Linked DNA regions of Xenopus tropicalis. The protein of the gene in region 1 purifies or fractionates together with the protein of each later gene. This does not show direct contact. Links are inferred from orthologs where the notes say so. Each region holds a gene or a part of one and is shown on either strand. Other genes may lie near its edges. The genes, in order: stk11, cops4, hsp90ab1, cdc37 and pip4k2a.

Evidence for each region.
Region 2: the proteins of stk11 (region 1) and cops4 purify together in Homo sapiens (affinity purification with mass spectrometry; 4 studies listed by BioGRID and IntAct, with this or other methods). This does not show direct contact. The link is inferred for Xenopus tropicalis from reciprocal best matches to the Homo sapiens genes STK11 and COPS4.
Region 3: the proteins of stk11 (region 1) and hsp90ab1 purify together in Homo sapiens (affinity purification with mass spectrometry; 3 studies listed by BioGRID and IntAct, counting the BioPlex papers as one, with this or other methods). This does not show direct contact. The link is inferred for Xenopus tropicalis from reciprocal best matches to the Homo sapiens genes STK11 and HSP90AB1.
Region 4: the proteins of stk11 (region 1) and cdc37 purify together in Homo sapiens (affinity purification with mass spectrometry; 8 studies listed by BioGRID and IntAct, with this or other methods). This does not show direct contact. The link is inferred for Xenopus tropicalis from reciprocal best matches to the Homo sapiens genes STK11 and CDC37.
Region 5: the proteins of stk11 (region 1) and pip4k2a purify together in Homo sapiens (affinity purification with mass spectrometry; 3 studies listed by BioGRID and IntAct, counting the BioPlex papers as one, with this or other methods). This does not show direct contact. The link is inferred for Xenopus tropicalis from reciprocal best matches to the Homo sapiens genes STK11 and PIP4K2A.

What each region holds. Positions count from the first base shown.
Region 1 is NC_030677.2:100,081,086-100,086,632, forward strand, and holds part of stk11 (serine/threonine-protein kinase STK11), read right to left. Parts: intron 5,453-5,547; coding exon 5,363-5,452; intron 1,856-5,362; coding exon 1,723-1,855; intron 1,649-1,722; coding exon 1,512-1,648; intron 756-1,511; coding exon 628-755; intron 1-627. UniProt on the Homo sapiens protein: Tumor suppressor serine/threonine-protein kinase that controls the activity of AMP-activated protein kinase (AMPK) family members, thereby playing a role in various processes such as cell metabolism, cell polarity, apoptosis and DNA damage response.
Region 2 is NC_030677.2:83,709,356-83,715,438, reverse strand, and holds the start of cops4 (COP9 signalosome complex subunit 4), read left to right. Parts: upstream 1-2,122; 5' UTR 2,123-2,139; coding exon 2,140-2,213; intron 2,214-3,294; coding exon 3,295-3,374; intron 3,375-4,519; coding exon 4,520-4,671; intron 4,672-6,083. Other genes in the region: leprotl1 (leptin receptor overlapping transcript-like 1), read right to left, coding at 1,766-1,781. UniProt on the Homo sapiens protein: Component of the COP9 signalosome complex (CSN), a complex involved in various cellular and developmental processes.
Region 3 is NC_030681.2:2,231,012-2,236,397, forward strand, and holds the end of hsp90ab1 (heat shock protein HSP 90-beta), read right to left. Parts: intron 5,266-5,386; coding exon 5,059-5,265; intron 4,938-5,058; coding exon 4,778-4,937; intron 4,694-4,777; coding exon 4,560-4,693; intron 4,484-4,559; coding exon 4,178-4,483; intron 4,080-4,177; coding exon 3,914-4,079; intron 3,368-3,913; coding exon 3,177-3,367; intron 3,089-3,176; coding exon 2,941-3,088; intron 2,803-2,940; coding exon 2,534-2,802; intron 2,444-2,533; coding exon 2,110-2,443; intron 1,992-2,109; coding exon 1,882-1,991; 3' UTR 1,105-1,881; downstream 1-1,104. UniProt on the Homo sapiens protein: Molecular chaperone that promotes the maturation, structural maintenance and proper regulation of specific target proteins involved for instance in cell cycle control and signal transduction. Undergoes a functional cycle linked to its ATPase activity.
Region 4 is NC_030679.2:137,666,374-137,672,681, reverse strand, and holds the start of cdc37 (hsp90 co-chaperone Cdc37), read left to right. Parts: upstream 1-2,750; 5' UTR 2,751-2,772; intron 2,773-5,151; 5' UTR 5,152-5,184; coding exon 5,185-5,286; intron 5,287-6,308. UniProt on the Homo sapiens protein: Co-chaperone that binds to numerous kinases and promotes their interaction with the Hsp90 complex, resulting in stabilization and promotion of their activity. Inhibits HSP90AA1 ATPase activity.
Region 5 is NC_030682.2:26,604,170-26,610,360, reverse strand, and holds the start of pip4k2a (phosphatidylinositol 5-phosphate 4-kinase type-2 alpha), read right to left. Parts: upstream 4,098-6,191; 5' UTR 3,822-4,097; coding exon 3,681-3,821; intron 1-3,680. UniProt on the Homo sapiens protein: Catalyzes the phosphorylation of phosphatidylinositol 5-phosphate (PtdIns5P) on the fourth hydroxyl of the myo-inositol ring, to form phosphatidylinositol 4,5-bisphosphate (PtdIns(4,5)P2). Has both ATP- and GTP-dependent kinase activities.

The DNA.
Region 1 (5,547 bases):
CTTAAAAAGTAAAATGTTTGATTTTAAACCTATATGGGGTGAGGGTATGCTTACTGCATACATAACAAGTTGGGTAAAACTTTCATTTTAGGGTAAGAACTCACGGAGTGGTTGAGCAGTTGATAGAGATCTATCACGGACAACAAACTGCTCCAAAAAGGCTTTCCGCAGCAACAACTGGAGTCACCGGTGGAAAGCACTTCACATCTCTTCAGTAATCCGAAATCTCGCAAATTTTCTTCCTGCAGGCAAGTCTGCTCAACATTGGAAAATGAAGAGATGTGAAGGGCTTTCCACCAACGACTCCTATTGTTGCCGGTGGAAAGTCTTTTCGGAGCGGAAAGCAGAGATCAATCACTGGCGACTCAATCCCTGGGTTCTTACCCTAAAAGGAACAGTTTAGTGTAAAAATCAAACTAGAGATAGGCTGAACAAAATAAACAAATGTTTCCAATGTAGTTAGCCAAAAACATAATATATAGAGGCTGGAGTGAACAGATAGCTAACATAATAGCTAGAACACAATGTCCTCTCTTGCATCGCTCTATCCTTTTAGTCAGCAAATTGAAGGGGGCCACATGAGACATAACTGTTCCGCTTTTAAATCTGACCTGCGTTATTTCTCACCTCTTAACAAGTCAGACAGCAAGGGTCCACATTCCTCTGGGATGGAGTAGTCTCCCTTTCCAATGTTTTCAAACAATTTATATATATTGTCCCCCTCGAATGGATACAGTCCTGTGGTAATATTATACCTATGCAGGGAAACAGTATGTGTTTATAGAGTGTGTTCTGTTGCATATAAATGAAATATTCAAGAAATACAAATTTCTTATCTTTTTTTAATGAAAGTGCTGAGATAAGATCTATAGCTGGCGACATATTTAAATAGCTAAGGTCCCCATACACAGGGCGATTCTAGCTGCCGGTATCGGTCCCTTAGATTCGGCAGCTAATCGGCCCGTGTATGGGGACTACAGACGGCCTGCCCAACCGATATCTGGCCTGAAATCGGCCAGATCTCAATTGGGCAGGTTAGAAAATCTAGTCAGATCGGGGACCACATCGGCTCGTTGATGCTGTCCCCGGACCGACTTTGCCTTAGCCTGGATTCTCCCGATATCGCCCACCCGTAGGAGTCGCCAAACAGGTGTATGGGCACCTTTAGACACTTATTAACATATGCAACCCATGGGCCAAGTGACTAGAGCATAAAGAAATTGAAAGTTACACAAAAATATGGTAATTTCTGTGGTGGCCTTCTACTGGTGCCAATGTAATGCTTCAGTAGACAGGATTTTGAGTCCAGACAGACAGACAGAAATTTGATGGGATTGAACAATCTTCTATCAAAATGGCATCTCAAAATGATCAGTTTGGCCCCTTAACCAGCTTTGTTTTAATTAAAATAGTCCATAGCTACATGCTGAAGCAAATAGTATTTTCTAACAAATCAGGTGTCAACATGGCTGTCGTCCACAGTAAGTGCAGTGGTGAATGTAGATACTCACAGCGTTACTCCTGCTGACCAGATGTCCACTTTGAATCCTGAGAAGGTATCCAGGCCATTGGCAATCTCTGGAGGCTGAAAAGCTGGAGATCCTTGGCTGGTCCTACAAGTATCACCTTCAGCAAACGGGTGCAAAGCCTGCAAAAGGAAAAAAAAAAAAGTCAAATGGCCAAATGTTTAAGATCTCTTATAAATAATCCACAGCTACATACCTCTGCCACCCCCAAGTCTGAGATTTTGAGTGTCCCATCTGTTGTTAGCAGCAAATTCCCTGGTTTAATGTCTTTGTGAACAATTCCCTGACTGTGAAGGTACTCCAGACCATCAATGAGTTGGCAAAAATAACTGTGGATCAAAAGAGTTCATTGTGTTAAAAAGGCTAGTTCAACTTTAAGGTAACTTTTAGTATGTTTTAGAATAACATATTCTTAGCAACTTTACAGAACAGTCAAAAAGATTGCTCTGTGAGCCTTTAACTGTATTGTTGCTGTTACTTTGTATTACTTATATATCTACTCAGGTTCACAATCTTCAGTCTGGCATTCAAACCACTACCTTATTGCTAAGGTATATTCATCCCTGGCAATCAGGGTTGAAATGTCAAACTGGAAAGCTGCTGAATAAAAAGGTTAATCGTAAGTGTAACAGATCTTGCCAGACTAATTTAATCGCCTTTTATGAGGAGGTGAGCAGGAACCTCGATGCTGGAATGGCAGTTGATGTCATCCACTCGGACTTTGTGTTTGATACAGTACCTCACAGAGGGTTAATGATCAAATTGAGGAATATTGGCCTTGAACATAATATTTGTAATTGGATAGAGAACTGGCTGAAGGATAGATTACAAAGAGTGGTGGTAAATGGAACATTTTCTAATTGGACCAGTGTTGTTGTTGTGTGGAGTACCGCTGGGGTCAGTCCTTGGTCCTTTGCTTTTTAACTTGTTTATTAATGACCTGGAGGTGGGCATAGACAGTACTGTTTCTATTTTTGCTGATGACACAAAACTGTGCAAAACTATAAGTTCCATGCAGGATGCTGCCACTTTGCAGAGCGATTTGACAAAATTGGGCAGCAAACTGGAAAATTAGGTTCAATGTTGACAAGTGCAAAGTTATGTACTTTGGTAGAAATAATATAAACGTGAACTATCTACTGAATGGTAGTGTATTGGGGGTATCTTTAATGGAGAAGGGCTTTTTGTAGATAACAAGTTGTCTAATTCCAGGCAGTGTCATTCTGTGGCTACTAAAGCGAATAAAGTGCTGTCTTGTACAAAAAGGGCATTGACTCAAGGGATGAAAACATAACTTTGCATCTTTATAGGTCCCTGGTAAGGACTCACCTTGAGTATGCAGTGCAGTTTTGGCCTCCAGTCCTTAAGAAGGATATTAATGAGCAAGGAGAGAGTGCAGAGACGTGCAACTAAACTGGTAAAGGGGATGGAATATTTAAGCTATGAGGTTAGACTGTCATGGTTGGGGTTGTTTTCTCTGGAAAAGAGGTGCTTGTAAGGGGACATGATTACTCTGTACAAAAACATTAGAGGGGATTATAGGCAGATAGGGGTTGTTCTTTTTTCCCATAAAAACGATCAATGCACCAGAGGCCACCCCTTTAGATTAGAGAAACAGAGCTTCCATTTGAAGCAGCGTAGGTGTTTTTTCACGGTGAGGGCAGTGAGGTTGTGGAATGTCCTTTCTAGTGATGTTGTAATGGCAGACTCTGTTAATGCCTTTAAGAGGGGCCTGGATGAGTTCTTGAACAAGCATAGCATCCAAGGCTATTGTGATAGTAAAATCTACAGTTAGTATTAGTAGTTGTGTATATATAGTTTATGTATGTGAGTGTATAGATTGTGTGTGCTGGGTTTACTTGGAAGGGTTGAACTTGATGGACTCTAGTCTTTTTTCAACCCTATGTAACTATGTAACAATTCCACAAAATAAACCTTTTTTTAAAAGGTTTCAAACTGTCGTAATTTATCATACAAGCCGATTTCCAAAAAAAAAAAAAAAAAAGTTGGGACACCGTGTAATACGTCAATAAAACCAGAATCTAATGATTTTCAGTAGTACAAAGACAACATAGCAAATGCTGAAACAGAGAACTTTTTAATCCTGAAATATATATGCTCATTTTAATTTAATGCCAGGAAAATATTTTTTTAAAATACTGGAACTGCTCAACAGTTCAGGTCACCTTTGTTGTATTTTTCATTTAATTATGCCATGCTTTTTAATAGGTACAGAATGTGGTTTGGCATTGTATTGCTGAAATAAGCAAGTCCTTTCCCTAAAAAAGATGTTGTCTGGATGGCAGCATATTTTGCTTCAAAACCTGTATATATCATTCACCATTAATGGTACTTCCCAGATGTGCAGGCTGCCTATGCCATGTGGACTAATTCATCCCCCATAATATCACGGATGCTGCCTTTTGAACTGTGCCAGAGGACATGGTGTCCATGATATCCAAAAAAAAAATTAAAATTTTGATTTATCAGACAAGATAGTTTTCCACTTTGCCTCAGTCCATCTGGAATGGTGATGTTTCTGGATCGTGTTAATATATTGTTTTTCTTTTCATTTTAGAAGAAAATAAAAACATTTAGAAATTACTGATGCAGTAATGCAGTCCATGCACTACAGAGTCATACCAGTTTTTAATGCAGGGATGCCTAAGGGCCCATGGTTCACGCCCATCCAATAGCATTTGCCTTATCCCTTGCCAACAGAGAATTCTTTGGAATCTCTGAATCTTTTAATGATATTGTGTACTATAGATGGTGTATGTAGATACTGAATTCCCCAAATTCTTTGCAATTTTATGTTGAGAAACATTATTAAATGTTTGCAATATTTGCCTGTGCAGTGTTTTATAGAGTGGAGTGTCTCTCCCCATCTTTACTTCTAAAAGACCCAGCATTATACAACCTGCTTGTTGCTGGCATCAAAATAAGCATTTCTATCTTTCAGAAAACAATAACATTTCTCAGTCTTACAATTGCTATGTGTTCTTTGTAATATTTTCAACTAAATCTAGAGTTTAAATTATTTGCAGACAATCCCATTCTTTTTTTTATTTTCATTTTTTAAAGTGTCCTGACTTGGAGGCTTGTACCAAAGGCTAATTTGAAGTTAATTAACCCCTTTAAAAAGGTTCAGGTAGTACACAATTCACACACCTAGACATCTCAAGAACACAAGGGAAGGCAAAAACTAGTGGATAAAAACTTGAGAAAACATGCAGAAATATGCTACAATACCACTACAATCTTGAAAACAGTCTGAAAATACCAACTAAATGCCAAAGTATCAAAACAATGGCAAAAAAAGGTAAAGCAAATGAAATAATGCTGCAAGATCACATCAGAATCACTGATCGCAACACAAGATCACAATACAACAGAACATAAGAGCTTATAAGAGAAAACAGGATACTAGCAAAGCACAGGAATCAGTTAACATTAACTCAAAAGGCTGCCTGGCTATGAGAGTCAGGTAGAAGCAAGCATAAGTAACATGACTCAGCGAAGCAATCTAGTAGAGGCAGGGTGAAGTAAATTCCAACAAGTCAAGAGCATAAAAAATATCATAAATGCATGTAATTATGGTCCAAAAGAAGAACTGGCAGAAGAGGGGATTTAGGGTGGCTATATGCTAGAAAAGCAAGAAATTAAAGCAAAGAGAAGAAATGATTAAAATGCATATTATAAAAAAAGTCATAGTGGGCAAATAATGGAGGCATTCCAAAGAGTAGAGAAAACAATTTTGGAAAATAATTAAAAAATGAAATATATTTAATACAGATTAACAAATTGTGCTTTACAAACAGAAATACTATACATACCCATGGGCTTGAAATACAGGAAAGTGTTTTTCCTGCACACTGTCCAGCATCTCCTGCATCCCACAAACACAATATTCCATCACCATATACGTATAGCAATAGTTAAAGAAAAGATGTATGGCAAAGAAACTGAAAAGGTAGTGAGTGTTAATGTTGTTTATCTATAATAATCCTACATTTTCCCA
Region 2 (6,083 bases), about 16 Mb from region 1:
TTGTAAATAACTTTGCACCATTATGCATTGGTAAAACAGCACCAAACTAGTGATGTGCGAGTTAGGAAAAAATCAACACCCATCTCCAACTAACTAGCATTACTAGCTTACTGTAGTCACTATTGTTCAGTATGCCCAGTTTATTGCAATTTGCTGTGTTTATAAACAAGAGTAGCCTTCAGGATTGTTAAACATTAACAGTCTCTCTCTAAAGATATCTCCACCTAAAAAAGGTTTGTTTTTGTGTAGAATGATTCAAAGCTGCATAGTATCCCAATAATCAGCAAAAGTTACATTCTATAGAGCAGTTAAAGTGTTTTATACTTACTATTAGAATGGATATATAAACCAATTAAGCTACTCATAATTGTGACTTACATTGTAAATAACTTTGCACCATTATGCACTGGTAAAACAGCACCAAACTAGTGATGTGCGAGTTAGGAAAAAATCAACACCCATCTCCAACTAACTAGCATTACTAGCTTACTGTAGTCACTATTGTTCAGTATGCCCAGTTTATTGCAATTTGCTGTGTTTATAAACAAGAGTAGCCTTCAGGATTGTTAAACATTAACAGTCTCTCTCTAAAGATATCTCCACCTAAAAAAGGTTTGTTTTTGTGTAGAATGATTCAAAGCTGCATAGTATCCCAATAATCAGCAAAAGTTACATTCTATAGAGCAGTTAAAGTGTTTTATACTTACTATTAGAATGGATATATAAACCAATTAAGCTACTCATAATTGTGACTTACATTGTAAATAACTTTGCACCATTATGCACTGGTAAAACAGCACCAAACTAGTGATGTGCGAGTTAGGAAAAAATCAACACCCATCTCCAACTAACTAGCATTACTAGCTTACTGTAGTCACTATTGTTCAGTATGCCCAGTTTATTGCAATTTGCTGTGTTTATAAACAAGAGTAGCCTTCAGGATTGTTAAACATTAACAGTCTCTCTCTAAAGATATCTCCACCTAAAAAAGGTTTGTTTTTGTGTAGAATGATTCAAAGCTGCATAGTATCCCAATAATCAGCAAAAGTTACATTCTATAGAGCAGTTAAAGTGTTTTATACTTACTATTAGAATGGATATATAAACCAATTAAGCTACTCATAATTGTGACTTACATTGTAAATAACTTTGCACCATTATGCACTGGTAAAACAGCACCAAACTAGTGATGTGCGAGTTAGGAAAAAATCAACACCCATCTCCAACTAACTAGCATTACTAGCTTACTGTAGTCACTATTGTTCAGTATGCCCAGTTTATTGCAATTTGCTGTGTTTATAAACAAGAGTAGCCTTCAGGATTGTTAAACATTAACAGTCTCTCTCTAAAGATAACTCCACCTAAAAAAGGTTTGTTTTTGTGTAGAATGATTCAAAGCTGCATAGTATCCCAAGTCTTCCATGATGCAAAATGCTGTTTTTGTGTGGAGATCTTCTAGAAATACCAAACGTTCTAAAGTACGATTTGTGCCAGTAAATTCTTGTCCAGGCATCAAAGAGACTGCAAAATATTACACTACACTATACTACAGAAACCAGAAAAATAAAGCTAATAAAATCTACCAACATGAATCCCCTTTGAAGTACAGAGCTAAACAAATATCGAACATTTTGTTCCAGTCATTAATTTGCTGAGATATCGTGCTACATGTATTGTGAGCTATATGTATAAGCAACATAAACAAACGAGAGCGTCAAGTACATATTGCTTTGATGCTTGCATCGATTTAATCCGCGGCAATTACCTTTTATGCCTGCCATGAAGCTGAGCACACAGGTCCTGCAGCAGAAGAGATTTAAGCGAATATTCTGCAGACAGGAGCGAAAGAATTTCTGGACCTGTTCAGAACCCACACAAATAAACCAGGGGACAACCTCTCAGAAAAATGAATGGAGCGATTTTCGCATTGTAGCGGCTAGTTCCTATCCTCGGAAGGGACCTTCGTGACGTCACGGTCATGTAGTCACAACCCATCTTTTTCCGCCCACCATTCACTTCCTGTCTGAGCGCCTAACCTATCGTAGCGCAGGTCCTATACTAAGCGGTCACGTGACTGCAACACCGGAATCATTTCGCTATAGTTCCGAGTGGTTTCAGTGTGTCCGAGCAGAAAGCAAGATGGCAGCCTCTGTCAGACAAGACCTTACACAACTGATGAATTCTAGCGGATCGCATAAGGATCTCGCCGGAAAGTGAGTTTGCCGCTAACAGAACTTTTGGGACACATTTACGTTAGCGCGTAGGAACTAATAAGTGTGCATATGCTTGTGGTTAGTGCTCTGAGGGGGCTTTAGTGCCAGTCAAAAATTCTATTGGGCAGAAATGTTCAAATGAAAGAAAGGAAATGATTATATTGTGTGTAGATGAGTGATGTTACCGCTTATTGAATTGTTATCTGCGAGCCAATGTATGGCTTAGCATGGATAGAAAAGGTGAACAAGTAAATATAAACCAGATCTGACATTATAAATGTAAAATCAGTCAAGGAGTTCCGTGATGAGGTGTCTGGTATTTATGATTTCAATTTCATTTAATTGTTTTTTTCAAGTTCAATAAAACATTTCTACTGCACAGATTAGATGTTCCTACTGTACATTTGCAGCCACATGAGGAAAACAATTCCCCCAGTAGAAGATATACTAACAAACTGCAGCTATTACAGTCTTTACAGATCTCCCACTCCTCATTCATTATATCTCCTCCTCATACCTATCACAATTTTTTGCCTTTAATCCCCTATTTCTATGTCTTACATTTCACCCAGCCATTCATACTTTCTTCTTCTTATGTGTCGTTTAACTTTTCATAATTATACTTATTTACACCTTTAGGATAATTTGCATTCGCACTTTCCATCCTATCCTGTTATTTTTTAAATATCACTTTATTCATAAATTATTTAAAAAAAGAAGATAAAGGCAAACATAAGCAAATGTAATTAATATTCATATTAATGTAAACCATTAATATTTGTTTATCTACATAAATTAGTATATTTAGATAACTGTCAGATATGAGTGTTAGTGTGATGAACAATTGGAAGGGGGAATAAGCACCTAGTGGACGGTAGTTGCACCAAGTAGCTAAAAGTATATTGTGGAAATAAAAACCTAAATTGAAACTGAAACCTTATAGAGTGACCAGGATTTTGAATTCAAGCTTTACTTGACAGGAGTTGCAAAAACACAGTCCAAGAAGCCAAAAATATGTTTTCCTATATTATCCCCCATTGTTTTTCTAAGTGCTGGTTAATTTATCTTTCATGTTTTATAGGTACCGACAAATATTAGATAAAGCACTCCAACTTCCTGGCCCAGAACAACTTGAAGCCTTGAAAGCTTTTGTTGAAGCAAGTATGTTTGTATTTTTGGGTGTATAAAGGGTTGCACTATTGGGGAAAATGGGTTCAGTAATTATCTGACATAGATTATCTGACTTACATTATCTATGATAATATATAATATATATCATATATTATATATGATAATAGGAAATGTGAGTGCAAGTGGTGTGTGTGTGCAGGCAGTGGAAACCCAAAGATTCACATATATGAGGAATAAGAATTTTTCACAACATAATGGCAGTGTCTACCACCAGGGGTGTCAAAATGTCTCCTCTGCAACTGTTTTGAATGACTGTTTTGAGCCTTCCTTATTCTTGTGCAAGTTGAATAAGTAGGGCTTTTGCTGAAAATATTTTTTGCCCGTTGTGTAAATCACAAATAATATATAGTTTTTGTGTTTTGTTTTTTTGATAACCAGGGTAAACTGGGAAACTAAAGCAAAGGTCAAGTATGTTCAGCAAAAGCCCTATTTATTGAAGTTAGATTGAACAAGGGGGTATACTACCTCTTTTAGTTGTAAACTGTTGTGCAAAACATTGTTTCTGTATTTCACCTACTGTAACCCATATTTACCACTCAAATCAATCATGTTTGCAGTTAAAGGGGTTACAACTTTCAACAGAGCTATCTCACTCTACTCTTGGCATGTGCAGCTAACTTGCCACTATCAAAACTTTATTAGAAGATGCTGCAGTAGTTTTCTTTATGTATGCAGTATTAGGCCTGAATGTGATTATTGGGCAGAAAGATTCTAATTCTTAGACAGGATTTTGCAATAACCCGGGCCCCTTGCCCTGGAAAACGACTTTGCAATTAATGTTTATTGTTTGATATAATATTTTAATATTGCTTTGGCCTATAAAAGTATGGTAGTGTGTGCTGGGATTTGATTTAAAGGAGGCATATCATGTAAAAATAAAGAATGTACCAATGCATAATACTCCTCTAAATATAGAAGGATTGGTCTTAAAAAAGCTTTGGACTGATTTATTGAAAAATTCCTCCATTCCCAGGCTGTACAGGGGGCCGGCGGCACTCAGCACACTGCGCTGTATGATAGGAACCAGTCAGCAGCTAGGCTGACCTGATAGACAACCAAAGCCTTTACTTGTTTACTTTACTATCTTGAGTAAAATGCATGATATTTTTTTGCAGTGGTAAATGAAAATGTCAGTTTGGTGATTTCACGTCAGCTGCTCACTGATTTCTGTACCCACCTCCCCAGCCTGCCTGATGGCATAGCTAAGGAAATCTACCACTTCACCTTGGAGAAGATACAACCGAGAGTAATTTCATTTGAAGAACAGGTCAGAGGAGGGGTCTAATGTTTTGGCTGGGGGAAGTCTGTAAAATTAGAGGCCTCAATGAACCAAACATATAATGCAGTATCTTTAAAAGGGTAGTATACCCATTTTTTTAAGTAGTATACTGAAGAGAGGCATATGCTAAACATACTTTTTGCCTGTTGCTGTAATTAAGAAATATCTGTCATTAATCAAGTTAATTGTAAGCGCCTCTGTTAAAGTAATTGTTTTACCAAGGTCATAAATTTAGGGCATTTTTCCAAGCTGACACTAGGCACCTTTAATACGTTTGTTTTCAAATACAGGTTCAAAATAGAATCTTTATGGTTCTTGATTTTGTTCCAGAAGCATGAGATTTTTGGCATCTATAAAGGGGTAATATATGTTATATAAGGACCAGTAAAATTAAAAATTATAGTTTTATATGCATTTAAATATTATGTGCTGTTATCCTGCAATGGTAAAAATTGCTTGTTTGCTTCAGAAACTATTGCTATTAAATATATAAATATGCAGTGTAGCCATGGGGAAAGCCACTCAAGCTACCAGGGCAAAAAGGCAAAGGTTTACGCAGCAGGTAAACTATACTATCTGTAGAATACAGGTATGGGGCCTTTTTTCCAGAATGCCCGGGACCTGGGGTTTTCCGGATAAGGGATCTTTCTGTAATTTGGATCTCCAACTTAAATCTGCTAAAAAATCATTTAAACATTAAATAAACCCAATAGGCTTGTTTTGCCACCAATAAGGATTAATTATATCTTAGTTGGGATCAAGTACAAGGTACTGTTTTATTATTACAGAGAAAAAGGAAATATTTTTAAAAAAATGTGAATTATTTCCTCAAAATGGAGTCTATGGGAGATGACCTTTCTGTAATTCGGAACTTTCTGGATAAATAGGTCCCATACCTGTACAACTGGTTTAATTTTTACACAGGAAGTATCTCTACAGGACTATAAAATGACCGCTTTTGCCAATAATTGTAGGTGTTCAATCAGCAGATACAAAGTTTAAAGTCAAGGCCTAATAATGACAATAAGTAAGTAAAAAGATGCCTTCTAAGTGCCTTAAAATTCAATTATCCATTCTGTACCCACAAAATGTTCTAGGATGCCTTTCTTAATAAATATATATATAATCCTCCAGAGCAAGGATCCCAAACCTTTTTTTATCTGTGAGCCACATTCAAATGTAAAAAGAGTTAGGGAGCAACACGAGCATGAAAAATGTTTCTGGGGATGCCATATAAGGGCTATTATCGGCTATTTGGTAGCCCCTATGTGAACTGACAGCCTAATTGAGAGACTCTGTTCGGCAGTACAGATGTTTTTTATGCCACTAAGACTTTCCTCCAAGCCAGGAACTTAAAGGGGGTCTAAAGTCAAAAAATAAAATTCCTTTTAAGGCTCCTT
Region 3 (5,386 bases), on another chromosome or scaffold:
GGCCGGCAAGGGCCAGAGATCTGATTCTGCTCCCCACTCTGGGGCAAGTTCCTTTCCTGATACTCAGAGGGGGTATTGGGCACATACACCAGTGCGGGCTGCAGCACGGATTTCTAGGAATTGCTGATTAGCCCAGCCGGGCATAGAAGCCCCTGGGGGGGTGGGGCAGCATCTCTGCATATAAATATATGGGGCGGAGTTAGGAACATCAGGGAGCAACAGCGCCACCCACTGCTCCCACACAGTGTTACAGTTGTGCTGCAATAAGGGGACCCCCAATAGAACAAGACAGCACCACCCTTACATACTTCTAAGGAACTACAACTCCCACCTTGCTCTTTGGTACAACCCCCCCCAACCCCCAGAGATGGTCATTTAAGCCTTTACCAGTGGCCCCTCCTACAACACCCACCCTAAGGGCTTTATGGACTTGGCAAGAAGAAACCAGCAGCACAAACATAATGGCCTTGGGCAACAAGGCACAGGGAGGGGCATTATCATTTTCATATGAGCAGGGGCAGCCAGGCTGAATCATGCTCAGAACAGCACCCTCTCCTGGCTGTAACAAGGAGCTGTGCTCTGATAAACTTCAGGCACACTTTACTGCTGCGCTGCAAGTTGGAGTGATATCCCCCTCCCCCCCAGCAGCCGATCAGCAGAACAATGGGAAGGGAGCAAGATAGCAGCTCCCAGTAGGTATCAGAATAGCACTCAATAGTAAGAAATCCAAGTCCGGCTTGGGACTCCTCCAGTTACATGGGAGTAGGAGAAACAATAGGTTAGCTGAAAGCAGTTCTAATGTGTAGCGCTGGCTGAAAGCTCAGACTCGGGCACAAGGCACTGAGATGGCGCCTACACACCAATATTACAGCTACAAATACATTTGTTGGTTGAAGAATAAAAGGATAAATGACAGAGGGAATTATTTGCTGTGTAACAGTGTTAGAGATACAAAGTGTCCCATAAATATCATGCCAGTATCCCAAGCCTTATAGAAATCCAAGGCTGTAACTACTGCACATAAGGTTTATAGTTGGGGAAACAGCCCTGTAACACAGCATTGTATCCGGTGCAGTCGGCAGCACATAAACAGGAGACAAACTGTTTCACTGTAAAAAGATCTTTATTTTGCGCAACATTTCTCAACTTTACAACAACAAAAAATAAAATAAAGTTCCGTATTGAGGCTCTCGATAGAGAGATGTGTAGGATGGGGGTGGGGTCTCAGCATTCAAGACATCCTGGGGGCGGGGGCACGAGATTCCAGTCAGAGAGATGGGGGCTACCACTCAGCAGATTTGGGGGTGCTACAGATTGAGGTAGCATTGGGCAGAAGTACCTCACCCCCCCAGACTGGCCTGGCGTTTCTATTTGCAAACACCAGCACATTCAATCGCCCCCCCCATGCAAGTGAATGGGAGAAGGCAGCAGGGGGGTCTCTAAAGCTTCCCAGTAAGTACCCCCCGTGCCTCAGGGGGGGCACAGAGGGACACGCCCATTACAATAGTGGCAGAGGGTAGGATTAGAGGGGGGGCCTGTAAGGTGCATTGAGAGAGTCAAACAGACCCCCCCCCCCAGCAGCTGGCTAACAGCGGGCCACTAACTCAGGGCTACCTCAAGCCAAGCTAGCTGCCATACTGCTACAATAACTTACATAACTAACTGCTCAGACTGGAACACAACAAGGGGGGTGCAGAGGAAAGGGTTAAAGTCAGCAGCCATCAGTCTTGAAGCTCCCCCAAATATATTCTATAAGGAGGGAAGTCCATCCCCAGTATCATGTGATATTTAGAGTCCAAGGGAGAAGTCGCCCCCCTACCGAGTTACAGACAGTGCACATACGCGGGTGGGAGGGGGCAGGACGAGCGGGCAGCAAACCGATTAGTCGACTTCCTCCATGCGAGAAGCATCTTCGTCGCCCTCTAGGGGTGGGATCTCGTCTGCCACCGAGGGGGAAGTTTCCTCCACTGTTGCATCGTCATCATCAATACCTGAGAGAGACAAGGGGAAGTTAACCCTAAATGTGGTGGTTTCAGGACCCTACATACAAATCCCCTTTATGGCAGAAGGATTCTGGTAGCCATTCCCATAATGCTCAGCGACACCTACCCAGACCCAGCTTGATCATCCTGTAGATCCTGTTTGAGTGCGTCTGGGGGTCGTCCAGGGAGAAGCCGGATGACAGCAGCGCGGTCTCGAAGAGCAGCACCACCAGGTCCTTCACTGCTTTGTCGTTCTTGTCGGTTTCCGCTTTCTGCCTCAGGGTCTCCACGATGGGGTGCTCGGGGTTGATCTCCAAGTGCTTCTTAGCCATCATGTAGCCCATGGTGGAATTGTCCCGCAGAGCTTGCGCTTTCATGATGCGCTCCATGTTGGCGGTCCAGCCGTAGGTGCTGGTGACGATACAGCAGGGAGAGGAGACGAGTCTGTTGGACACGGTGACCTGCGGGGTAACAAGGGGCAGGTTGGGGGTTAGCAGGACAAGGCTATACTAGGGGAGGGGCAACATTACTTCCTTCTGCCCCATCCTCACCTTCTCTACTTTCTTGTCCAGAATTTCCTTCATCAGTTTGCACAAACTCTCAAATTTGGTCTTGTTCTCTTCCATCATCTTCTTCTCTTCCTCGTCCTCTGGCAGCTCCAGGCCCTCCTTGGTCACAGACACCAGCGTCTTCCCGTCGAACTCCTTCAGCTGCTGCACGCAGTACTCGTCGATGGGCTCAGTCATGTAGACCACCTCGAAGCCACGCTTCCTCACCCGCTCCACGAAGGCGGAGTTGGCCACCTGGTCCTTGCTCTCACCTGCGAGACAGAACAGAGGGGTCACGTGTCAGACTCTTCCTCTAAGCGAGCTGCGGAGAAGTGACCCCAGGGGAAGAGGAATACCCCTCTCTCCCAGGGGAGCCCATAATGGGATATCTTGCTGCAAGGGCCACTTACCAGTTATGTAGTAGATGCTTTTCTGGTTCTCCTTCATACGGGACACATACTCTGTTAGGGAGGCCATCTCGTCGCCTGTCTGGGAAGTGTGGTACCTGAGGAGCTCAGACAGCTTCTTGCGGTTGGTAGAATCCTCGTGGATGCCGAGCTGCAAGGAGAGGTAGGTCAGCAAGAGCCACTGGGACGAACAAGAGCTCCGCCCACTACAGCCCAGGGCACCCTCCTGCACTGCTCACCTTCAGGTTCTTGGAGAAAGCCTCGTAAAACTTCTTGTAGTTCTCCTTGTCCTCGGCCAGCTCGGTGAAGAGCTCCAGGCACTTCTTGACAATGTTCTTGCGGATCACCTTCAGGATCTTGCTCTGCTGCAGCATCTCACGGGAAATGTTCAAGGGCAGATCCTCAGAATCCACCACCCCGCGAATGAAGTCTGGAAGAGAGAAAAGAGTTAGAGGCGGCACAGGGAGAGACTGCCCAAAAGTCCTACATTCAGGATCCATCTGTGGGGCCCTGTGTGCCTACGTGTGTGTGTGCGCAGCTTAGTAGCAGCTACCAAATCCCCTGCCATAGACAATACTGAGAATTCCTTCTGCTAGACACACGTAGAGACAATTATCAGCAAATGATCAACATTGTCTGTTTCTGTAGCTGCTACTAGTAGCTCCGTGTGTCTTCCCCTTATAGATACGCGAGTGCACCAAGAGGCCTGTGCGTAAGAGACAAGGATTCTTGGGCTGAAATACTACAATAGGCAATTAATTGCCCCTGCCCCCCCACACACTTACCTGCCTGCCTGTGTGCCTATGGGTGTGCGTGGGGCCCTGCCTGCCTGTGTCACCACATCAAGCAAAAGATCTACATGCTAGACTGTTAATGAAGCATCTAATGCCAGACTATTGGAAGGCTTTACCCAGCATCCCATCCTATGGGGGGGGGGGGAAGGAGGGGGCCCACTAAGCTTCGGGCCAGTACTTACTCAGATACTCTGGGATCAGCTCGTCGCAGCTATCCATGATGAAGACGCGGCGCACGTACAGCTTGATGTTGTTCTTCTTCTTCTTGTTCTCAAACAGATCAAAGGGGGCGCGGCGGGGAATGAAGAGCAGAGCGCGGAACTCCAGTTGCCCCTCCACAGAGAAGTGCTGGGGGGAAGCAGAACAGGGGGTGTTAGCGCTCAGGAGAGAGTGTGGAACCCAGAGCTGAACAAGCGGTGCATTATGGGGTTTTTTTTTCTTCTTACCTTCACAGCCAAGTGATCCTCCCAGTCATTGGTCAGGCTCTTGTAGAACTCTCCGTACTCTTCCTGGGTGATGTCGTCTGGGTTACGGGTCCAGATGGGCTTGGTTTTGTTCAGCTCCTCCTGGTCGATGTACTTCTCCTTGATCTTCTTTGTCTTTTTCTTCTTGTCCTTCCCCTCCTCTTCCTCATCGGAGCCCACGTCCTCTATTTTAGGTTTGTCGTTCTCTCCCTCCTCTTCCTTCTTTTCTTCCTCTTTCTCCTCCTCTGCCTCATCGTCGCTGATCTCCTTTTCCCTCTCCTTCTCCAGCTGTCGGGGAGACAAATAGTGAGCCAATCGTACATCAGACCCAGGGCCCTGCCCCCAGCTGGCCGGCCATACTCACATAGAGGGTGATTGGGTAGCCAATGAACTGCGAGTGTTTCTTCACGGTTTCCTTGACACGTTTCTCCTCCAGGTACTCTGTCTGATCTTCCTTCAGGTAGAGGATGACTTTGGTACCACGGCCAATGGGCTCACCTAGCAGGAAATACCAGTTTGGGGTTAGTGGTGCCAACTTACAGGCCTTTAGGGGAATTCTGGTCCAATTGAACACAAACTCACCATGGTCAGTCTTCACGGTGAAAGAGCCGCCGGCGGAGGATTCCCACGCGTACTGTTCATCATCGTTGTGTTTGGTGATGACCAAGACCTTCTCTGCCACCAAGTACGCAGAATAGAAACCCACACCGAACTGACCAATCATAGAGATGTCAGCACCAGCCTGTCAGAGAGAAGGAACCACAACTCAATTGGACTTCAGGGAGACACCACTGGCTAGTGGACGGTACTTAATGCGCCAGCATTTAATAGTCAATGCTTTATATTGGGCCGCTGGTACCGACCTGCAGGGCCTCCATGAAAGCCTTGGTGCCGGACTTGGCGATGGTTCCCAGGTTGTTGATGAGGTCGGCCTTGGTCATGCCAATCCCGGTGTCGATGACAGTCAGTGTGCGCTCCTGGCGGTTGGGAATGATGTCGATCTTCAGGTCTTTGCCGCTGTCCAGCTTGGAGGGATCGGTCAGACTCTCGTATCGGATCTTATCCAGGGCCTGCGGCACCGAACAATGGGGAGAAGGTTGAGGATTGGCAGAGAGTGGCTACTAGCCCAGAGGGCCCCCCCCCCCTCATTATAACAGTCCCCCCAGACCCCTATGCAACAGGCAGTGAAGC
Region 4 (6,308 bases), on another chromosome or scaffold:
CCAATCCCAATGGTTCCAATGAATATACAGGTAGGCATTTTAATATATAAATAATCTCCCCTAAGTCATTAATAAATAAGGTAAATTAAAATGGACCCAATATATGCAGCGTAGTACAATAAATAAAATACATTACTATTTCCTAATTAAAACAATAGACGAAAATCATGTTCATTGCCAGGTCTGTTCATTATTCCTTCAGAAAAAGGCAGTATATTGGCCTTTAAAATTAAAATGAAATACCTGATCTTTGTGGTGACTCTGACCTGGTAATTCCTATTCTATTGTTTGTCATTGTTTTGGTTCTTTTGAGCGGCGCTGTGTGTTCTCCCCTTTTGCTGAAAAAGGCTGCAAAATATATGTAGGCACTTTAAAACACATTATAAAGTACATCACCTACCGTACATAGCATGCTTAGTGGACATGGTTACAGCTATGTAATTGTGATTACTGCACCCCGTTCCAGAAACCACACAGCTGGCCACACATTGGCCAATAAAAGCTGCCAATTCTGCCATTCCGGACACAGCTGGTAATATATTGGCCCATGTATGAAGTCATTGAAAGGGCCTGCCAGATGATTCAGACAAATTTTAACACTCCCGGCGGGTGTGACCACCTTGATGGGTCTTTGTAGACTGTATGTAGGGGCCAGGGTTGCCAGATTTATTTTTCCAAACTAGCCAAAGTCAGTTCTAAAACCAGCCCAAAAATAGCCAAAAGCCACTCTGAAAATAACCCAATATGTGCAATGAAAAAAATTCTAAAAAAATAAAAAAACATATGGGTAAACCTGCCTTTTTAAAGTGTATAATCACTACCCAGTTACTGGGATGGCTGATAATTCCCTGCCCTCTGTGCCCAGTCCAGTAGTAGTCTGTCACTACAGAAATAGATTCCGAATGTTGCATTAACCCCAGACTTGAAACATATATGGGTGCGTTGAACTACAACTCTCAGAAGCCCCAAGGTATCCTGAGAGTTAAAGCTTAAGGACCAACTGCAGAACTGCCCCCACATCCCAATAGAAAGTAATGGTACAATCACATACCCTATAGAGCAGGGAGCAGGTTGCAGAACATGCAGGTTGAGTCTGAAAGAGCAAAAAAGAATACAAAATGGAGCCTCTGTCTATACTGCCCAACTGCATGCTGGGTATTGATTGTAGTTTTATATTAATCCTAGCTGTAGGCTAATTGTTAGATACAAACTACATTACCCAGCATGCAGTGGGACAGCCACACTAGAGGGAAAAACTTTGGCTAGTTTCCAAACTACAAACCCGCCAAGGCGCTAAAAAATAGCCCAAATCTGTACCTTGGCTGTACATTGGAACCCCACCTGGGCTTTAAACTAGTAGAAGAGTTATTATAAAATTATGCTTTTTTACACTTTGAAATGGCTTTTACAGATTGTTTAAAGGTTAAATATGCTAATTGCACAATTGTGTGTGCTAATGAAGTGTGAGACTATTTAATCAAGTTCAATGCACTTGTTTTTATGCCTGAAGAAGGCTAATTTGGTCATTTGGCCCTGGGGCCAAACTACGGAATTATAATGACGGGTATAGGCAAGTCATTTTGGGGACTGCATCAACGAGCCGATGCGGTCCCAGATCCGTCAAAATTTTTTAACCTGCCCGATTTCAGGCCAGATGTCGGTCATGCAGGCCCGTCGTTCGTGCCCCTACACGGGCCAATAAGCTGCCGAATCGGTCAAAAGGTGCCCATACACGGGCCGATTGTAGCTGCCAATATCGGTCCCTTGGACTGTTTCGGAAGCTTATTGGCCCGTGTAGGGGCAGGAACGAGGAGCACGCCCGACCGATATCTAGACTCACATTGGCCACATATTGATCGGGCAGGTTAAAAGATTTAGTTGGATCGGGGAACGCATCGGCTCGTTGATGCAGTCCCCGAACCAACTGCCCCATTGCCATTATAATTCGATTGGCCCCAGGGCCAAACGATCAAATTTGCCTACATGTTCCCCGATATCACCCACCCGTAGGATCTTCACGTGTATGGACACCTTAAGGGACCGATATCGGCCGCTAAAATCGGCACGTGTATGGCCACCTTAAAGCACAGATCTGCTTGCCTGGCAATTAGGCACATTTGGTAACTGACCCTCAACCAATACCTAATGGAAACCAATTATATATTGCTTCAAAGTGATTTATATTTACAATTGTAACGACAAGCAGTATTTGTATATCCCTTTCTGTTCTCTGGTTTTGCTACATTGTTTCAGGAGTCAGAACCAGCAGCGCAAACAACAGTAACAGCCAGGCAGACGCTGCTTTGAACAAAAATCACAAAATATCAAAATGATTTATTTTTCTTTTTAATGTATGTATACCAGAAAGCTGCCTAGAATTAAGTTAAAATAAAACAGATTCCGGATGGTGTTCCCCTTTCACAATATAAGCAGTTGTTTCATGTTTTCCTCCCCCTTGGGCCGCCTATAATGTTGATTGTGGAAAAACCCTTCGCATACCATCCTATAAAGCCGTTTCTATCTCCAATTCCCCTCCACAAACCACTCCCTACGGCAGCAAGAACAAACCTGCCTGTCTAGCAAAGGCGGAAGTGACGCAAGGAGAATGGAATAGGCAAAAAAGGAAGTCGGCCCGAAGACTCTAGCGTAAGGGCAAATCAGCCGCGTCGAGGTTAAGGAAGTGATGTCATGGAGTGGGCAGGCTGAGGCAGAGAGTGCAGGAGCTTTCCAGAAGCTTGCGAGGGGGCCTGCAGCTGCACCCTGGTGTGCCAGGTAATGGCTTCTTCCCACAGCTGGCTATTTCTCTTATACCTGCCTGCGGTGCTGCTATATCCTATTTACCTATACGGACAGGCTGTTTGGGCAACAGTTTAAGGCATTAAGCAATACTCCCTGGTATAGTGAGCGCTGTTCTTGCCCGGGTAGCTGTACTACAACTCTCACAATTATTGAACATATACTCCAGACTTAAAGTATACTGGGAGTTGTAGTCTAACAATATCTGGGAGCCAGGCTTTATCATCATTAATGGCTGGGGCACAGTATATTATTTTCATCTACCCCCCCCCCCCCCATATCCCTGCCATGTTTCTGATTCTAGTCCCTGACATGTGGCAAGTAAAGCAGGAGTTGGGGGGTCGCACTGTCACATCTGGGGGGGGGGGGGGGTAACCATCAAATATTACATTACTGTTGTTTTTTTGATTTGCCAGGAAGGATGTAGAGACAAAATTATACCAGGAAATTTACTCACCATAACAGAAAAGTAACTTTATATATCCCCCAGTTAGGGGGGGATTTGGGGTGAGTGCTTATTTGTGCCCTGGGTACCCCTGGAACTATAGCAGGGTGACTGTTACCCCAATGTTTCTATATATCTGTAACCTTGTTATGGGCTAAGGGGGCCCAGCCTGAAGGCCAGTTAGGGGGGGATTTGGGGTGAGTGCTTATTTGTGCCCTGGGTACCCCTGGAACTATAGCAGGGTGACTGTTACCCAATGTTTCTATATATCTGTAACCTTGTTATGGGCTAAGGGGGCCCAGCCTGAAGGCCAGTTAGGGGGGATTTGGGGTGAGTGCTTATTTGTGCCCTGGGTACCCCTGGAACTATAGCAGGGTGACTGTTACCCCAATGTTTCTATATATCTGTAACCTTGTTATGGGCTAAGGGGGCCCAGCCTGAAGGCCAGTTAGGGGGGGATTTGGGGTGAGTGCTTATTTGTGCCCTGGGTACCCCTGGAACTATAGTGGGGTGACTGTTACCCCAATATTTCTATATATCTGTAACCTTGTTATGGGCTAAGGGGGCCCAGCCTGAAGGCCAGTTAGGGGGGGATTTGGGGTGAGTGCTTATTTGTGCCCTGGGTACCCCTGGAACTATAGCAGGGTGACTGTTACCCCAATGTTTCTATATATCTGTAACCTTGTTATGGGCTAAGGGGGCCCAGCCTGAAGGCCAGTTAGGGGGGGATTTGGGGTGAGTGCTTATTTGTGCCCTGGGTACCCCTGGAACTATAGCAGGGTGACTGTTACCCCAATGTTTCTATATATCTGTAACCTTGTTATGGGCTAAGGGGGCCCAGCCTGAAGGCCAGTTAGGGGGGGATTTGGGGTGAGTGCTTATTTGTGCCCTGGGTACCCCTGGAACTATAGCAGGGTGACTGTTACCCCAATGTTTCTATATATCTGTAACCTTGTTATGGCTAAGGGGGCCCAGCCTGAAGGCCAGTTAGGGGGGGATTTGGGTGAGTGCTTATTTGTGCCCTGGGTACCCCTGGAACTATAGCGGGGTGACTGTTACCCCAATGTTTCTATATATCTGTAACCTTGTTATGGGCTAAGGGGGCCCAGCCTGAAGGCCAGTTAGGGGGGGATTTGGGGTGAGTGCTTATTTGTGCCCTGGGTACCCCTGGAACTATAGCAGGGTGACTGTTACCCCAATGTTTCTATATATCTGTAGCCTTGTTATGGGCTAAGGGGGCCCAGCCTGAAGGCCAGTTAGGGGGGGGATTTGGGGTGAGTGCTTATTTGTGCCCTGGGTACCCCTGGAACTATAGCAGGGTGACTGTTACCCCAGTGTTTCTATATATCTGTAACCTTGTTATGGGCTAAGGGGGCCCAGCCTGAAGGCCAGTTAGGGGAGATTTGGGGTGAGTGCTTATTTGTGCCCTGGGTACCCCTGGAACTATAGCAGGGTGACTGTTACCCCAATGTTTCTATATATCTGTAACCTTGTTATGAGCTAAGGGGGCCCAGCCTGAAGTCCAGTTAGGGGGAGCTTGAAGACCTCTGTATTAGCTTTTAGTGGGGGAAATTCAACACAGGACAGATAGTCCTTCAATGCATTTTGTAGAGACAAAAAGATTAGAAAGGCTCCATTACCGTTTGGCCCTAGATTCAGTCCTTGATAGTGATGAGGCAGAAGCAGTTATGACAGTAGGTACTAGTAACTGCTGGAATTGCATTGGCTCTGTCGAGGTATTTTGGAGATAATTATGAACACTTAAGACATAAGAGGATCGTGCTTAGGGCCTTATGGATACATCAGGCTTTCTAGACACACAGGAGCTGCTTCTGTAGCAAGTAGTAATATAGACCTTTTATATGTTTGAATTCTTGTAAACAAGTCTTTCTTTATGCCCTTCATTTCAGTGAATCTCTTGTTTGTCTGATCTCTGCTACACAATGGTGGATTATAGCGTGTGGGACCACATTGAAGTTTCTGATGACGAAGATGACACTCATCCCAACATTGACACTGCCAGTCTTTTCCGATGGCGTCACCAGGTAATGCCACATAGGGGGGAAGATTCTCTCTCCTTTCCTCATTGAAAATGTTTTAAAGGAACAGTAACACCAAAAAATGAAAGTGTAAACTAAAATATAATGTGCTGCTGCCCTGCACTGGTAAAAGTTGTGTGTTTACTTCAGAAAGTCTACTATAATTTCTATAAATAAGCTGCTCTGTAGCCATGGAGGCAGCCGTTCAAAGGAGAAAAGGCACAGGCACATAGCAGATAACAGATAAAACACTATTGTATTCTACAGAACTTATCTGTTATCTGCTATGTAACCTGTGTCTTTTCTCCTTTTTTCCAGCTTGAATGGCTGCCCCCATGGCTACACAGCAGCTTATTATATAAATTATTAGGGCTGGGCGATATACCGCTTAATACCGAATACCGGTGTTTTTTTTTTTAAAACTATATTCATTTTTCAGATACCGCAATACCGGGGTGTCAGGGTACTCACCCGTGTGGGCTGGTCTCGCACGCCTCCTTGCGCACGTACATGTCAAAGCGTGCACGTCCGCGACGCGCTGACAGCACCAGTTCTGTGCATGCGTGGGGGGTATTTAAAGCTATCAAACGCCTCCTCCTGTGCTATGTTGTCTGCGGCCTTGCCTGGGAAACTAAGCCTGCCTGATTTACCTTACGACTTTCTGTTGCCGATCCTTCGCTTGCCTGACTCTGATTTTCGATACTGCAGTAATTATTCTCTAATTTATTAGGAAATGGGGTTAACACCTAATCATGCATGGAAAAAAAAAATACCGTCAAATACCGTGACACCGATATAATTTTGAAAAATACCGTGATATAAATTTTTGGTCATACCGCCCAGCTCTATAAATTATAGTAGTGTTACTGTAGCAAACACACCAGTTTTACCAGTGCAGGGCAACAGTGCATTATATATTTATTACTTTAAAGCTCTTTCATTTTTTAGTGTTACTGTTCCTTTAAGCTGTAACATCTTGAATTCATTTCTGTCTCTGTTTTAGTTGTTTGGCCAAGTAACAGGGTTCC
Region 5 (6,191 bases), on another chromosome or scaffold:
AATCATGAAAAAGCTGCATATATTTAATTAATGTATATTGCAAATTATATTATGCTTGAAATTAGGTTTTCTTTTCAAAAAGTTCAAGTTGTTTTTGGGTGGAGTTCCCCTTTAAATATCTAATACGCCCCACAGTGCAGAGCTGCTGTACTTCATTTAAACTAGATACTATCTCATATAGAATGCAATAGCTATATAATGTCATAATACACATATATAAACCATTCATACATGCAAGAGGTTTTTTCGCACATTTATCCTTTGGGGGTAGGAAGTGCTGCTGTAGCTACAGATTGGGAGAGTATTGACACTTAAGTTCCAGTTGTCAGGTCTGGACTGTGATGCAAAATAGGCCCTGGCATTCCAAGTACACAGAGACCCAAACAGCCCCCCCAGCCCAATAAATAGTGACTGACTATGGCATCTTACAGCAGCCCCTCTGGCATTTGCCAGAACCCACAATGAATAAGCAGAGACAATATGCCATTCTGAGTTTGTACTTCTGCATGAACTAAGTGTTGCAGAAAATATAGTTGCACCTGTGGGTCCCATTTGCTATGCAGAAAGCTTTTATGAGCAAAGAGGTACAGATCTTTGTGCCTTATCTATACCGCATTGTAGTTATAATGGGACTTTTTAAAAATAAAGTATAATATGTTAAAGCGGCTGGAGACTCATTTGATTCAAATGCAAGTTTGATTAAATTGTTGGCCCTAGGAGCCACTGGGACCTATGAAGATCTGTCAGACAAAAAAAAAAAAAAAGCATCAATGTGCTGTAGCGTTCCTTTTCTGGTGGGATTTTTAAACCAGCCTGATTAATATATGGCTCATTGTTAGCCAGATATAGCAGGTGCAGGCCCTTCGGGATGCCCCATACACAGGCCAATAAGTTGCCAAATCGATCTGAAGGGACCCAGTCGGCAGCTTTCGTTCACCCTTGTATGGCCATCTTACTTTAGTAATCACGCAAATGCAGACAAAGACATTTTCGATTCATCAGTGATTTCGATTCATCCTGGTACAAAGTATTGTCAGGAGCTTTGATGCCTGCGGGGAGCGCAATTTCCCACGCATAACAAAGTTCCCCACGTTCCCCATTTGTGTCATCAACCTAAAATGCTGAAGCATTTTTTCCCCAAAACAAAAACTGCCACGAGGAGTTAAAGGTTGCGGTCTGACAGTTTCCCCTCATATTATATTTGTTGCTAGGGCTTAATTACCAAAGCAACCAGAGAGCTGGTTAAGGGTAATGACAAACAGGGAACGGTAATCACCTGAAAAATTAGCTTCTTCTGTATTTTCCCACAATTACACCAGATTGCTGCATGTAACATGTTTTATGTGTGGCAATCTTTATTCTTCCAGATCAAAAGGTAATTTAAAGTGTCAATGACAATCGTCATTGCCCTTAAAGTCAAAATGGTGAACAGGAGTGAGCTCAAAATAAAAGCCTCAGGATCTTTGCGATTTCTTTTGCTAGGGTGAGCGACCCAGACCATCAACTAGCTGGAAACAGGCAGGATAGATAGGTTAACAATATGCACACAATAATGAAAAAACACTGCCAATAATATTGTGTTCCATATCATTAATAGAAATAGGAATGTGCTGTAATACAACTCCCAGGAGCCTTAGCTGGTAAGTTTGTAGTTTTGTTATATATGAACTTATGCATTTGGCAGTCACAGCACACACATGTTATAATACTCCCAAATAATGCTGGTAAAACAGCTGGTAGAGTACAGATCACGCAGTGTGCCAATGCTCATGGTGCTAAAGTACTCCAGCATGCTATTTCTTAATTTAAGATAATGCAACGGAAAACATGCCATAATTACATTTGCTGAATGGCAGCAACATCTGCCTCATTTAATGAGTCCTCCAACCGCTTTGTAGTTGAATTTTCCAATAACATTAAGTCCCCTAATAAGTCACAGCACGGGCAAAGACCCACAGAGATATTTAAACTTTCATGGGCCTGCCATCAACAAGCAGCGATCATATTTCTCTCTATCTACTAATCAGATTAAAATGACACGGGTGACACTCCGGGATCGGCCAAGGCTCGGAGGAGCGAAGCATAGGAGGGAACTCCACAGGAGTCCTGGAGTCAATGGCACTGCCGTGAATGCAGTAAGATTTTAGTGCAAGTTAGAAGTCAGATCTATTCATAACCCAGAGAGACAAAAGATGTCCTGCCAGGCAGACTGAAGCGCGGGCACACTACCAACCATTCAAGCTTCATCTCTCCTTTACTAATGCTAGAACTGGGAAGATACATCTCCTATGAAATCTGTTTATCCCTGGCTGAGGGATCACAATACAAACATCCAAGCAATGCAACAGGGAATCTCTAAGCCATATTTTAGAAGCCAAATATAGCACAGGAGTTCCAGTTTCCAGTGCATGGGGGGGGGGGGAGTTGATACAGCACCACTCACTCCGCCAGTATAATGCAGTAATGTAAACAGGGGAAGATGGTCTTTATTCCTGGAAGAGAATGGCAGTTTAAACCCATAGGTACCACCTGTCATTAATTCAGTGAGAATCCTGTTATAAAGTGTAAAGGGATGCAGCTGCTGCATAACCTCTTTGTTTCTCAAGTGTAAAGTGATGATAAAGGTTTGCCCTCAGTGATATCTCTACAGTTCAACAAGATGCCAAGCTAGCAGAGACCTTGGCCCTCCAACTGTTCTAGAACTACAGGATTAGTATAAATGGGGAAATAATTTTAAAACTGCTGGAGGGACAAGTTTGTACTAGACCTATGGCACTCGGGCTGTTTTGACCACATCAGCAATGGCAATACCACGCCATCATCAGCCATAAACTTGTTCATGTGTGATATTATGTGTATACACATAAACATGCACGCACACAGTTCACTGGCAGAGTGGGCAATCCTTGACCTATTATTTTATCTTTCCATTAAACAAATTATTTTGCTTAAAAGCTTCCTCAAACCCTCCCATCTACAGAGTACAGAGATGAGCATCAGGCTAAAACCAAGGTAAGGACAACAATAAGCCAAATAAATATTGTTATCAGCCGACAACTCTCCGCAGATCAAAAGCCCTGCATCACGGAGCTGTAGGCAAACCTGTGCAAGTGGGCAAATTATTAGATAAAGGGGAACACAAGCAGCCCGGTTTGCCTTTGTTCACTGATGCACTGCCTAGGGGCAAGTAAAAATCAAGCAGCTTCATACAAATCCATGGTTGGTGATGGTTAATAAACACTGCTGTAACCTAAACTAGCCAAGGCTGCAGCATGGAGACCCGCAGCTCTTATATCTTATGGGCTGCATAATTATGAGGCAAAACCAATAAGAGTCAACATCCCATAAAATGGCACAGGACTACAGAATACGCAACAGAAAATCATGACCTTTTTATAGACAAGACTAGCAACACTACCGTGGAAATACAAATCCCAAAATCTGGCAATTAAGGAATTCTGGGAGTTGTAGTTTCACATCAACTGTAAGGCTGCAGATCAGATACCTCTTTTAATTCATCACAGAGAGCCACATCATAAAAAAAAAGCAGCCAGGCATCATACCTTCACAGGTCACATACCCTTATGTCCTAACATCAGCAACCATAAAATCAATAGCAAAGGACACCGACAGTGAGAGCTAACAATTAGCCATTGGACCACTCAGTCATATTCCCTTACCGAGTGGTTCACTCCCCACATCAGGACGCTCAGCAAAGGATCGCTGGCTCGGAACAATTTGACTTTCTGGGCCACAAAATGTTTTTTCTTAGTCTTGGTCTTACTGGCCATGGTGGAGATTGCGGTGCTGACAGCAGCCATAGCGGTCCCCTTGCAGAAATTCCTCCCACTTGTCCTTTAGAAGGGGAAATTGGATTTTTTGATCTATCAACACTATAGGCACATCCAAAAAAATGGCAAGATCCAGGAAAGTTTTCTTCACAGGCATATAGGAGAAGTTGAAAAGAGAAGCACAGCCCAGAGTGCAATCTTCAGGCAGGGCTTTCTATAGCCAGCCCCGGAAAGGAAAGACTGCTCAGAGGAGAAGTGTGTGTGTGTCTGTGTGTGTGAGAGAGTGTGCGAGACAGAGAGAGAGATCTTCTGGCTCTGTAGGCGTTTCCCTCTATCTCTTTTCTCCCACATCCAATTCAGATCTGGCCCCTTCTGGTCTTTCCTCTGTCTCCTGCCAGGCACAGGGGTCTGATTTAATGCGCCTCCCTCCTGTTTCCTGGACTGGATCGTATCCTATCCATCTATCTCAGCTCTGCTGGGTGGCAGCGAAGGATGGACAGACACTGCAGCAGCTGCTCCAACTGCAAATAAACAAATAAATGGCACAGATTTTAGCTATTCAAATGATATTAAACTACAACTCCCAGCATTCCCCACTAGAAGCTCTTGGGCAGGACGTGTCTAGGCATCTGAAATAGCAGAACTGGGAGATAAGGGTTACGTGTGAAGAAAGAAAACGATCCCCACTTAATAAATGTACAAGCAGAGACATTCTTCCAAAATGAACAGAAAACCCCCAAAGAATCCAATAGCGGGTAGCAGCAGAGATGGACAGACGGGCATGGACAGACGGGCATGGACAGAGTAGCGCCCCGGCATTTAGAGGCAGCACACTGGCACCCTGCAGCATTTCCAGCTCACATCCTCTCCTGCAGCCAGAGCCCTCCCTGCTGCTGCCATGCACACACACAGCCCGCTCCCTCCCCTCCAACCGCTTCTCACCGGCATCTGCACCACTCACTCCTCTATGTCCTACTGACAGCGCTTCCCCTATCCTCCAGCCCCTACCGCGTCTCTGGCTGCTGCTGCTGCTGCTGGCCACATCTTTCCCAGCGCTTCCGGCCGGTTGCAGCTTCTGCTGCTTGACTGACAGTCTCGGAGGAGGAGGAAAGAATAAAAGGAGGGGCGGTCGGGCCCTGCCCCTGCCTCACATGGAAAGGCGCCGGGGCACGGAGGATTTTTCGTTTCATCAGCCAGTGCCCTGGGCAGAATACGTACGGGAGGGCGTGAGAGAGAGAGTACCTTCTTGCCCCGAGTTTACACGTTTTAAAAATCGAATTGTATTGACGCACATGTCTTTTGAACCCCAAAAGTCTTGTGTTTTCTGCTATCCTAAAATATAGTAACAGTGGCGAGTTCCCAAGTGCTTGAATGTGTTTTCCCTCACATGCACAGTTATCCATAGATCAGTGGTTCTCAACCTAATGCCTGGACCCTTTCCCTCATGTTGTGGTGACCCCCAACCATAAAATTATTCCTAAGACCGTGGGAAATATGTGTTTTCCAATGGTCTTCGGCAACCCCTGTGAAAGGGTCCTTGAACCCCCAAAGGGGTCCCGACCCACAGGTTGAGAACCGCTGCCATAGATAGTATTCCGAACTTGGCTGACATAAGCCATATTGGCTGAAGGACGGGTTAAGGTGGCCATACAAGCACCGATATTATCATACGAAACCTCATTTCGTCCGATAATCGGTGCGTGTATGGTATGTCAGCGAGTCGACCGATATCGCAGGAAGCTGCTGATATCGGCCGACTCACCGATCGGACCAGTTGGAAAATTTTGATCGGGTGCCATAGAAGGCGCCTGACCAAAATTCTCCCTTCAGAGCTGAATCGGCAGAAGGAGGTAGAAATCCTATTGTATCTACCTCCTTACCTGCCGATTCAGCCCTGAATGGTGTGTGGCGGATCTTACGACCGATGGTCGTACGAAACATCGTCAGATCGCCACGTGTATGGCCAGCTTTAGGGCCAAGGCAAGAGCTGTGGGCGAATGACTATCTACATTATCCAACTGGCAATGCAAATGGAGGGCCACATAATAAGGTTATGTTTAGGGGAATGGGCCAATAAAACTGGAACCACACACCGTAAATAGCTGCATATGTCAAACAACAGGCACTGTGGGCACACTGCAGGCCCGACTGGCCATCTGTGGCTTCTGGCAAATGCCAGAGGGGCTGCCATAGACAGCTGCTATTTAAGTGACTGGTGGAGGACTGTTTGGGCCTGTGCATTAGTCTTGGGCATGCAGCCGCCTTTAGAGTAGTGTATGACTTTTTGGGGCTCAGATCCCATTTGGTCAGAAGACAGTGGAGCTGTCAACCCCTCCCCTACTTTTTCGGGTGTTGTCTTCCCTGGTCTCCTGGCCATTGATAGCATTCTCCTAATTTTTC